3 linked regions of the Oryctolagus cuniculus genome follow. The protein of the gene in region 1 purifies or fractionates together with the protein of each later gene. This does not show direct contact. Links are inferred from orthologs where the notes say so. Each region holds a gene or a part of one and is shown on either strand. Other genes may lie near its edges.

The links.
Region 2: the proteins of AKIRIN2 (region 1) and PSMA5 purify together in Homo sapiens (affinity purification with mass spectrometry; 3 studies listed by BioGRID and IntAct, with this or other methods). This does not show direct contact. The link is inferred for Oryctolagus cuniculus from reciprocal best matches to the Homo sapiens genes AKIRIN2 and PSMA5.
Region 3: the proteins of AKIRIN2 (region 1) and IPO9 purify together in Homo sapiens (affinity purification with mass spectrometry; 3 studies listed by BioGRID and IntAct, counting the BioPlex papers as one, with this or other methods). This does not show direct contact. The link is inferred for Oryctolagus cuniculus from reciprocal best matches to the Homo sapiens genes AKIRIN2 and IPO9.

Annotation. Positions count from the first base shown.
Region 1 is NC_091436.1:84,875,041-84,878,688, forward strand, and holds part of AKIRIN2 (akirin-2), read left to right. Parts: intron 1-3,041; coding exon 3,042-3,185; intron 3,186-3,648. UniProt on the Homo sapiens protein: Molecular adapter that acts as a bridge between a variety of multiprotein complexes, and which is involved in embryonic development, immunity, myogenesis and brain development.
Region 2 is NC_091438.1:61,003,683-61,008,130, forward strand, and holds the start of PSMA5 (proteasome subunit alpha type-5), read left to right. Parts: upstream 1-1,516; 5' UTR 1,517-1,657; coding exon 1,658-1,686; intron 1,687-4,448. UniProt on the Homo sapiens protein: Component of the 20S core proteasome complex involved in the proteolytic degradation of most intracellular proteins. This complex plays numerous essential roles within the cell by associating with different regulatory particles.
Region 3 is NC_091444.1:17,766,838-17,770,485, reverse strand, and holds part of IPO9 (importin-9), read right to left. Parts: intron 3,579-3,648; coding exon 3,520-3,578; intron 2,217-3,519; coding exon 2,065-2,216; intron 1,364-2,064; coding exon 1,265-1,363; intron 395-1,264; coding exon 288-394; intron 1-287. UniProt on the Homo sapiens protein: Nuclear transport receptor that mediates nuclear import of proteins, such as histones, proteasome and actin. Serves as receptor for nuclear localization signals (NLS) in cargo substrates.

The sequences.
Region 1 (3,648 bases):
AAAGCAGTGCAGGCAATAACATTCAAAATTCTTCAGCTCTTTAACTGACAGTATCAAGTGTTGGCAAAGATGTGGAGCAGCTGGAACTCTTAATACAATATATTGTTGGTAGGAATACAAAATGATGAGGTCACTCTGAGTTTTTTAAAAATTAAAACCACCCTTCAGTTGCCGTGTGATTGGGCAGTTTAGTCCCACTCTGGGGTATTTATCCAAGGGAAATGAAACTCTCTACCCAAAAACTTGTACCTGAATATTTGTGGGAAACAGTCGAAAGGTTGATACTGTGAGAATGGATGGATGAAATGTCTGGGGGGGGGGGGGACAAAACACAATGATATACTAATCAATTAAAAGGGAGGAGTTACTAATTCATAGAACATAATATGAATCTCAAGAACATTTTGCTGAGTGAAAGAATTTCAGACACCATTCCATACTCTTAATTGGTCTATTTACCTGAAATTCTAGAAAAGGCAAAATTGCACAAAGTACAGTTGTCCTTTGTGGGGAATGGGTTCCAGCCCTCCTTCCTGTACCAAGATTCACAGATATCTCAGTCCCTTAAAGAAAAAGGTCTAATGCTTGCATATAAGCAATGCACATACAATATATAAAATATACTATGTAAATAGTTATTAAATTTTATTCTTTAATTAATGATGACCACTGCCATAAATACTTACGCCTGTTTAGTACAGATGCACTTTCTTCCCTGAATATTTTTGATCTGTGGTTGGTTGAAGTCCAGATGGTGGAGCCAGTGGGTTTTTAAGGGAGACTACATTAATAGGACATGAGTGTTGGTGGATGGAGGTGTTTGGTCATAGTGGTAAATTAACTGCAAAAGAACATGGGAGACTTTTTGGGAATGATAAAAAGTTCTTTATCATGATTCTGATGGTTCTGAGACTGCATGTATGCAGTCAGAATTCACTGCATCACACTTTTAAATTAGTGGATTTTGTCATTTGTAGATTATATCTTGTTTGGAGGTTTATAAAACTAAATTCCATTTAGAATATAGTTACTGATATAAAGATATTTGTGATTGCCCTGGTTGATACAGGATGTATTAGTTTTATTGCATACCTCTGAATATTAGGAACCCATTTATATCAAACACTAGCAGCCTCTTTAAATTGCAAACTAGTCAAATAAATGGAAAAATTAAAAATGACTAACATTAAACAAATGTTAATATTCTGAAAAAAGCTTAATACATGAAAGTACTCTAAACACAACCATCCTGTAAGTCATTCCAATTTGTGGTTTTTATACAAAACAGGTTTGTTTACATAACAAAAAGTATTTAAATGGGACATACTTTGCGATTTTTTTTTTTTTCAGTTATAATGAAGTTGGCAGAATTAAAAATGTTCAAGGGACTGATTTATGTTCTTTTGGGAGTTTCTCAAAAGTGCTTAAGGTTTGTTTTCTGGGGATATAATATAAAGTGAGAAGAGAGTAAAAAATCTAACAAAACCAGTTTTAAATTTTAAAAAACCTTATCACACACAAGTCTTTAATCTTCAGTTGCATTTTCAGTTCTTTAATGCATCACTGTTGAAAAATTTATACTCTTACACAGTAATGTACTGTCTCATGCTGTTTTGGTCAGTGATGAGCATGTACAAGAGTAGATTCATAAGATCACAGTACCTTGTGACATCTTAAGTTATCTTAGTTTGTGTAAGCGCACTCTGTGATTGCACAACAAAACCGGCAAATGGTACATTTATCACAGCATGTCCCTGTGAGGCAGCATGCAACTGTACTTACGAATCTTACTGCTACTTTTTGTTTAATCTCACTTTCCATTGGGATTAGTAAACTTCTTGGATTAATTTTCAGATAGATAACCTATTAATTTGGGAGTTATTGAGGTAGTGAGAAAAGTCTGGACAGGAAGGAACCTTAGGGATTTGGGGGGAGAGACCTAATGTTAACTATTTTATTTTATTCTTTTTTTTTTTTTTTTTTTTTTTTTTTTTTTTTTTTTTTGGCAGGCAGAGTGGATAGTGAGAGAGAGAGACAGAGAGAAAGGTCTTCCTTTGCTGTTGGTTCACCCTCCAATGGCTGCCACGGCTGGCACACTGCGGCCGGCGCACCGTGCTGATCCAAAGGCAGGAGCCAGGTGCTTCTCCTGGTCTCCCAAGGGGTGCAGGGCCCAAGCACTTGGGCCATCCTCCACTGCCTTCCCGGGCCACAGCAGACAGCTGGCTTGGAAGAGAGGCAACCGGGAAAGAATCCGGTGCCCCGACTGGGCTAGAACCCAGTGTGCCGGCGCTGCTATGTGGAGGATTAACCTATTGAGCTGCGGCGCCAGCCATGTTAACTATTTTAAATTGGAAAATCTTTCTAAATGAATCATACCAGGTCTGAAGGATATGTTGGATATAATTTTATCCCCCGTTGCAACGGCTGTGTTTAAGCATAATTGCACTGTGGTGTAGCGGTTATTTTTTTGAGAGGACCTGCTCTGTGCCACTTCGCATGAGGGTTTCCCAAAAACCCAGGATTCAGAATGCTTTGCTATTAATGCTGTAATATTCTTGGGTTCTGCTGAACTTAATATTAATGGCTGGTAGCCATTTTTATCTTCTGTCTTTGTTCTTTTGACCTGTCACATCTTGCTGGTGTGTTTGAATATACATACTCTTCCCTTTCTGATTACTTATGGGTTTAGAAAAAAGCCTGTTAGTGTGTTAGTTCTATGTATGATAAATAAACAAACTTCGGGGCTAGGAATCTTGAGTAAATAGGTAGATGTTTGATGTCAGATTCCCTGTTTGAGTGAAAAACTTACAGAAATGATACTGAATAGTTGAATTCAGGTGGTATATATGTGACATTTCTGGTAAAGTGCTCCTATTTATGCTGATATGATTTCTTCCAGAATGTTGGTTTTTATGAATGTTACTTGAAGAGAATTTACGGGGAAGATTGGTTCTACTAAATAACTATTGGAAAGTCTACCTCTTTTTTAACTTGAAAGTTTTTATCTTAAAAGCCCAATTTTAACTTTTTTTTTTTTTTAGAACAAATCTTGTACAACATAAAACAGGAGTATAAACGCATGCAGAAGAGAAGACATTTAGAAACTAATTTCCAACAGACAGATCCATGTTGTAGTTCTGATGCACAACCACATGCATTTCTTCTCAGTGGACCAGGTTCACCAGGTAATAATTCTGTTATGGGAAAAGCTTAATCCTAAATGCCATTAGTTACTTAAGCTCCTATTTTTCTCCCTACAATCTCCCCTCCCCTGCTCTCATTTGAGAGGCAGAGTTAGAAAGAAGTCTTGAATCTCTGGTTCATTCCCCAAATGGCCGCAAAGGTCAGAGCTAGGCTGATCTGAAGCCAGGAGCCAAGAGCTGCTTTTGGGTCTCCCAATGGGTGCAGACTCCCAAGCATCTGGGTTATCTTCCACCAGCAGGGAGCTGGATCAGAAGTGGAAAAGCCGGGATGCTGGCACGCAGGTGGAGGCCTGAGCTACTACGCCACAACCCTTTCCCATTTTTTTTAAAATTCTAAAAGTAATGCATGTTATCTTAAAAAAAATGCTATAAAATGAATAGTCACCACTTGAATTCCCAGTAACCAAAGAAACATAAATAATATTCCCAAAGTGAATGTAGTGTA
Region 2 (4,448 bases), on another chromosome or scaffold:
TAAAAAATTAGACATCTTAAAATTTCAATATATTTATTTGAGGCAGAGAGAGAGAGAGCGAGCTCTCATCCATTGGCTTATTCCCCAAATGCCTGCAATGAATGGGGCTGGGCCAGGCCAAAGCTAGGAGCCAGGATCCAAGCACATGAGTCACCACCTGCTGCCTGCCAGGCTACATTAGCAGGAAGCTGTAATGGAAGCAGAGTCGGACATGGGGGTATCACAGCCTGTGTCTCAAGCACTGGGCCAAATGCCCAACCTCTCCTCCTGATTTTCTTTTTTTAATTTTTAAAATTTATTTGAAAGAAATATGCTCTTTCATATCTCATATACTGAGAGATCTTCCATATGCTGGCTCATTCCCCAGATGGCTGCAACCAGGAACCAGAAGCTTCTTCCAAGTCTCCCACATGGGCGATAGGCTCCCAGACACTTGGGTCATTTTTCGCTTTCTCCAAGCCATTAGCAGGGGGTTGGATCGGAAGTGGAGCAGCCGGGACACAACAGCTAAGCCAGCGCCAGCCCCCGCTTCCTCCGTGATGTTTTGCCCCAGATACACTTTGTGCATGATTAGATCAATTACTGTATCCATCATCTCACATACTTGTGTGTGTGAGAGAGAACGTTTGAGATCTACTTTCTTGGCAACTTTCAAATATACATTATTCACTAGCGTCACCCTGCTGTATAATAGATCTCCAACTTTCCTTTTTTCGATCCTCTCAACACCTTATCCCCGGCCGTGATTTCTTAACTTCCTGTCTTAGACAAGTTACTCAGAATGTTTCTATGAAGCTACGAAGTTGCTCTTCCGCCCTTGGGAAAGGGAGGCAAGAAGCACCGAAAAGGAAAGCACGCATTCTTCATTAAGAACAGAAAAACGGCGAACGATCTGAATCTGGGATCCTGAGCTCATCAGTCTGAAATCTGGACTGGGGGCGGGCGCAGGGAGGGTCCAACAACGAGCTGGCAAAATTACCTCAACTTGCGGAAACTGGAAGACTTTCTTACTGGTTAAAACCCACCAACTTTTCTCAATAAATGAGCCAGGCTGGACTCGCCCACGGCGCCGGCTCAGACCCACCGTAGTGCACCCATCACCGCTCAAAATTTGCAGCCCTCGCTAGAGCACCGGATAGACCGCGCCAGACCTCAAGCAACCCGGAACTCCGCAGAGACGGGCGAGCGCAGCGCGTGTTGGAAACCGGACCAACGTCTCCGGGCGGAGATTAAGCAAGCCGGCGAGAGACCTATCAAATCAAGGTTCAGATAGCACGGCCTTCGGTACAATCCCTCCTAGCTGCCCATCCTGGCGCCGGCTCACACCGCTAAATGGAGAACTCCCCACACACGCCTCAAACTCCCGGCGCCCCTAGCAACCGCCGGCAGTTTAAAGCGGAAGAATGCTCTTTGTCCCGCCTCCGTTAGGCTGAGCGAGGCCTGGCGGGAGGCGCGTTGGCCCAATCGCCTCGACGGGAACTATGGCCAGCCAATAGAAAGCAAGCCTAGGAGGGCGGGCTAAAGAGGTCGCGGGCGCACGCGCAGTTGGAAGCAGGTTCCTGGGTTAAGTGGCGGTGTGGGTGAGTTGGATCCCGGTGAAGTCCCGTGGTTCCTCCGGTTTCCCACATCGCCGCTGCCGCCTAGTTCTGCCCTCACCATGTTCCTCACCCGGTCTGAGTACGACAGGTCCGTGCGGTGGGGGGAAGCTGGGACGGGGTTATGGGTGGGCAGGCCCGGGGCCCGGCCGCGGCCTGGGTTCTGCCGTGTCATGGGGCGCCCCGGGAACCCGGGTCTGGCCGGGCGGGATCTCTTGTCCTCCCCTTGCGCTCGCGGTTACTGCTCAAGCTAGATTTGGGTAAATCGGCCCCACTTGTCCTGCCGCTGAGTCACTGCTCGGTCGTATCTTGGTGCGGAAGTGAGAAGCCCCGGTCTGTGTTAGGAAAGGAAGCCGGGGTCCGGGACTCCGACCTTTAATCCGGAGGCGGGGGTCACCCCCTTACCCATACACCTTTTAGCGTTGAGTACGACTGCTCCCCCCCCCCCTTTTTATAAGAAAAAATGTGAAAAAGCACACGGAGACTACCCAGTGGATTTGTAGTATGGTTCACAGGGGTGTATAGTTCTTGGAAAAGCTTGAAGGCAGACTTAGCTATGCCCAGTGTGGAGTCTGCTTTTATAGGAACCAGAGTTTGGAGTGATCTCGAGAGATTTCGCATACTGATTCCACTTGGCTGAGAGTTTTCTGACTTTTAAAATAAAAGTTTAAAGCAGGTTAGTGTTAGTGTTAATATTGAAGTATTAGGGTTGAAGGCCGAATGTAGTGTTTTTAAAAGTCAAAGATTTTGAGGTTATATTTATTAAAAAACGAAGCTTTCAGAGGCTGCATATGCTAATATTAAGTTTTACATATTTATGCTGTAGACATTTTTGCTTTCATTTTCTATTCTGATCAGTATATTCTGATCATAGCTGTTAAGTTTTTTTTTAATAGTTAGGAAATACAGATTTTTTTTGTAGGAACTGACTTAAGAAGCCTCCTTTCTTGTCAAGTATGTTAACCCAAAGTTTCATCACCTGGAACTAGCATTTTTCCATCCTTTTCCTATCTCCTGGAAGATGTATGTGAAGTTTTAAAAATGATTGTCATTCCCATTGTCATATAAAGTGACTTTGTTAGTGTTCAGCTTCTAGGGCATCGAGGAGAACCATCTTTAGGTGATAATTTTGAGTTAGGTTGTGTATGATGGAAATTATCCTTAACAGGAAAATTTTACTAAATTGTGTGAATGTTTACTTAGCATGTGTATTGATTGTTTTGTGTTACTCATTTTTTTGTCTTAACAAGAATGATTGAAGTACAGTCTATCCTTATCCACTTAGTGTGTGTATTTGGGTGCTTCCTACGGTGAACAAAATCAAGATCCTTGTTCCCATATAGGAGGCATCTCTTAAAGAACTGTTCACAAAAATAATTATAGTTTCAGCTAGAAATGTATTAACATTTTCAGAGGATTCAAATCAACCCCGTGGAAGTTTGGATGACAGAGTGCAGTCTGTACTAAGGGATCATGGAAAACTTCATGAAGGAGCTGAAATTTTTAGTGGATCTTGAGGGAGTAGTATCTCAATAAATACAGTGAGTAATTTTGAATTCTGAAAATAATAGGAGCAAAGGAGGGACAGTGGAAAAAATAATGCATGTCTGAGAAAAGTCCAGTTTGATCAGCACATATACTTGGAGTAGCAGTAGATATGGGAAAAACAGAATGGTGTTAGATACTAGATGATTTTCAGTGTGAGGTGAAGGAGTTTTGGTCTCATTCTATGGGCAACTATAAGCTGTTAATTTTTATCTTAAGTTTCATGGTCATTATTGAGCTTTATGGAGATTAGTTGGATTAGAGGAGTGAGTCAGTGCTGGTTTGGGGCTATTACACTAGTTAGGTGAAAGGTAATGAGGGCATCGCAAATGAAAGGAAGGGCGATCTGTGGCTGTGGAAGAGGAATATGCCTTGGCATATGGTTGGATAGGAAAGAAGGGAAGGAACGTGTCAAATAATTCAGAACTTTCTAGCCTGGAAACTGAGAGATTAGAGGTTTTTTTTTTTTTTTAATTTATTTTATTTGAAAGTCAGAGTTAGAGAAGGAGAGGCAGAGAGAGAGTCTTCCATCCGCTGGTTCACTCCCCAATTGGCTGCAATGGTCAGAGCTGTGCCAATCCAAAGCCAGGAGCCTGGAGCTTCTTCTATGTCTCCCAAGGGGTGCAGGGGCCAAGGACTTGGGCCATCATCTTCTGCTTTCACAGGCCATGGTGGAGAGCTGGATCGGAAGTGGAGCAGCCAGGACTCGAACTGGTGCTCCTATGGGATGCTGGCACAGCAGGTGGCAGCTTTACCTGCTACACCACAGCGCCAGCCCCAAGACTAGAGGTATTTTGAAATAAAAACTAGCCGGCGCCGCGGCTCACTAGGCTAATCCTCCGCCTAGCGGCGCCGGCACACCGGGTTCTAGTCCCGGTCGGGGCGCCGGATTCTGTCCCGGTTGCCCCTCTTCCAGGCCAGCCCTCTGCTGTGGCCAGGGAGTGCAGTGGAGGATGGCCCAGGTGCTTGGGCCCTGCACCCCATGGGAGACCAGGAAAAGCACCTGGCTCCTGGCTCCTGCCATCGGATCAGTGCGGTGCGCCGGCCACAGCGCGCCGGCCGCGGCGGCCATTGGAGGGTGAACCAACGGCAAAGGAAGACCTTTCTCTCTGTCTCTCTCTCTCACTGTCCACTCTGCCTGTCAAAAAAAAAAAAAAAAAAGAAATAAAAACTAAAGTAGGAATGGCGGGAGTTGAAGCAAATTTTTCAGGGTGACTGGATTTAAAAAGATAATCTTTCAGATTATAAATCATTGAGGGGTAGGTGCTGATAGGCCAACCAAATGGAAATGTTAAACAGACATTTAAA
Region 3 (3,648 bases), on another chromosome or scaffold:
GCTGTTCCATTTCCAATCCAGCTCTCTGCTGTGGCCTGGGAAAGCAGTAGAAGATGGCCCAACTGTTTGGGCCCTGCACTTGTGTGGGAGACCTGGAAGAAGCTCCTGGCTTTGGACTGGCTCAGCTCTGGCTGTTGCAGCCATTTGGGGAGTGAACCAGTGGATGGAAGACCTCTCTCTGTGTGCCTCTGCCTCTCTCTAACTCTGCCTTTCAAAAAAAAAAAAAAAAAAAAAAAAAAAGATGCCCCAAACAGGTCCCCAGGTTAGGCATCTGTTCTCATTCTTACCAGTGCTCAGTGCCACTGCTTTTGGTTTGCTCAGCTTCCTGTAAATGTCGAGTGGCTGCAGCCGCCAGGGCTGCTGCACTCTCATTCTGGAAATCTGTGGCCACGGCCTAGGGATAAAGAAAGGCTAATAAGCCTATTTTATACATTAAATGCATTTCAGTTGCAAACTGCTTTAATGAGAATTGCTGGAAGTAAACAGTTCAAAGTATGTCACATACACACACAAAACTGATTAGGTTTTAAAACTGTGCCCCACTGGCTCAGAACTCTAATGGAATAGAAGTAATATCTATATTTTGAGCGCCTAAGCAGTGTTAAGAGGAGCCAGTTGCTCCTTTTAGCTGTAAGCAGCAGATCATACTTAAAAACGATGGACTCGGCTTTGGACAATGGTCCAGGTGTTTACTCCCTTGAAGCCCAATTATGGAAAAACAAGGCTAATCCACTAATCGAGAACGAGCGCAATCTTTCATTGGTACCTAGAAATACTAGATAACGATGAGAGGTGAGTCACCAACACTGCTCCTACCAAGGGAGCAAGTGGCAATTTCTCCGCAGCGTGTCAGCCTAGAGAGAACTCCGGGAGATGCCAAGGAAACCTGAGCAGATATCTGATGTTCAGTATTTTTTTTTTTTTTAATTTTGCAAACTTTGGGTGTGTGCTATAGACTGTTGGTGAAGAATGATTAAATGGAAATGTTACTGATTCAACTTTCTTACTCATTGGAGTACTTTATCCTCTGCAAAAGTCTTACATTCAATACCAACTGGTAAATCAGAATCAGTGACAAGGATTGTGGAATCTCTGAGTCTCAAATTTCATTTGAGAAGCTCTCTTGTATCCCCAAAATAGTCTGAGATAAAGCCACCCAACAAACACTGCAACAAACACTTGGGTTAAACGTCTAGGAAGAACAGCAAACCCTCAAGTGGCTGATTAGGATGATCTGGCTGGAGTAGCAAGGTAACCCTCTTACCAGCAACAGGTCCTGAGCAGCAATTCTAACGGTATAGGAGAAGGTATCATCATCTTCGTCTTCTACAAACTGCTGCGGGTTGGCTGTCCACACTTTAATCTGAAGACATGATCAAGGTAGGTCTTGTGAGGCTGCTAATCTGGTTAATGTGCTCCCTTACAGATAAAGAAGACTTCAACCTTTGATTCCAAACAAACTGTATCCTCAAAAGCCTTACTTTGTATTGTAGAGAAACAAGTCTTCTACAAAGGGAAGGGGGAACTGGCTATTTCTCCCTGGCAGACTCTACCTCAGAATTTGGCGGTTACTTGTTCTCTGCTACCATCAATCAGCTGTTATTCTTTGATAGATTTTCTGAATCTATTCAGGATACAGGAAATGTGATGGGATATTTACTGTGAAATCATGCCAGCTCCTGTGCTCTCTTATTCGGGGCACCATCTTATCTTGAGAGTTCTTTCCCAGTTTGAATGACCAACAGGCTAACGATCTGTTCTCTACATTTCACTACATCTGGGGAGGGAATAGGTTCCCAGGGATACCAAGGTCTTTGGTAAGAGGCCAGAAAAGATCTTCCTAATAGAAGTGTTCTGGAAGCCCAATTACCCAATTTGGGAGTTGATAAAGCTATAATACCCAGGGAACTGGCAATAAAATGATGTCAAAGGCTTCCTAGAACTCCACACAGAGCTATTCTCATGTTTATTTTTAGACTTGCTGTTCATTTGACCAAGGTTTCATATTGATCAAGTTGCACCTTCCAAATACAAGCTGATGACTGTCTCCCAAATATTACTTACCTGCTCCTCAGTGATTTGCATGTACAGGATTATATAGTATATCAACTCAGGCAAGGCCTTCTTGACAGTGCTTTTGAATTTGCTATTTTCTAGTAGGGCGTGGACAAATTCAAATATGCTAAAGACGAGATTTTCAAAGCCCAGGACTTCACCTATAGAAAATACGCAAGAGAAGGAACTAATGATAAGAATGCACGCAGGAGAAGGAACTAATGCACGCAAGAGAAGGAACTAATGATAAGAATGTACGCTAGAAATAAACTACACTGGCCGGTGCCGCAGCTCAATAGGCTAATCCTCCACCTAGTGGCGCCGGCACACCGGGTTCTAGTCCCGGTCGGGGCGCCAGATTCTTTCCCAGTTGCCCCTCTTCCAGGCCAGCTCTCTGCTGTGGCCCGGGAAGGCAGTGGAGGATGGCCCAAGTGCTTGGGCCCTGCACCTGCATGGGAGACCAGGAGAAGCACCTGGCTCCTGCCTTTGGATCAGTGTGGAGCGCCGGCTGCAGCACGCCAGCCGTGGCGGCCATTGGAGGGTGAACCAACGGCAAAAGGAAGACCTTTCTCTCTGTCTCTCTCTCTCACTATCCACTCTGCCTGTCCAAAAATAAATAAATAACTACATTATTAGTGAATATTTAAAGTGCCTGAAAATTATTAGTCCTAAGGGATTGGACTGGAAGAAGGGCTGAACTTTAAGGGCTGTGTTGTGGCACAGTGGGTTAAGTTGCTACCTGGGATGTACACATCCCATACTGGAGGGCTATTTCAGTCCTGGCTACTACACTTCCAATCCAGCTTCCTACTAAAGTGCCTAGGAGGCAGCACATGACAGCCCAAGGACTTGGATTCCTTCCACCCTCCTGGAAGACCAGGATGGAGTTCCCGGATCCTGCCTTCAGCCTGGCACAGCTCTGGCTGCAGTGGGTATTTAGGAAGTGAACCAGCAGATGGATGATCCCCTGTTCTCTGTCATTCTGCCTTTCAAATGAATGTCTGAATAAATCTTAAAAAAAAAAAAAAAAAAAAAAGAAGAAGAAAAAGAAAAAGAAAAAGGAACTTTGAGGATATCAAATACTCTTTGGTTTTCCAAGTAAAAGAACCAGAAACACTGAATATATTTCTTCTAGCATGTCTATTCTTGATCTGCAATACTTAAAAATATTCAAACAGAAAAGTTAACATCATCTGGGACTTCAAAATTAGACTAGACAAAACAGCAGAAGAAAGCTGGATAAATGGCCTTTAAGAGATCATTTCCAACTCAGGAATCCTATGATTTTACGTGATTTATTTAAATGCCTGTAGGAATAGACAGAAGACGGTCATGTCTCATCTCCTCACGTCTAATACACCAAAAGGAACCTCAATTAGAAAACGCATTTAAGAGTGAAGCATCTCCTAGATTTCTCTTCCCACTAACTGGTATATTTCTGTAAAGATCAGATAAACTACATACCATCAGAATCCACAGGATCTTCCACTTCCTCTGTATAATTTACTTCTGTCCTCACATAAGTATGATGAAGAGTAAAGAAACAGAATTTTGAATCTGCTTTATACACACTCTACAAGGGGATGGTACACA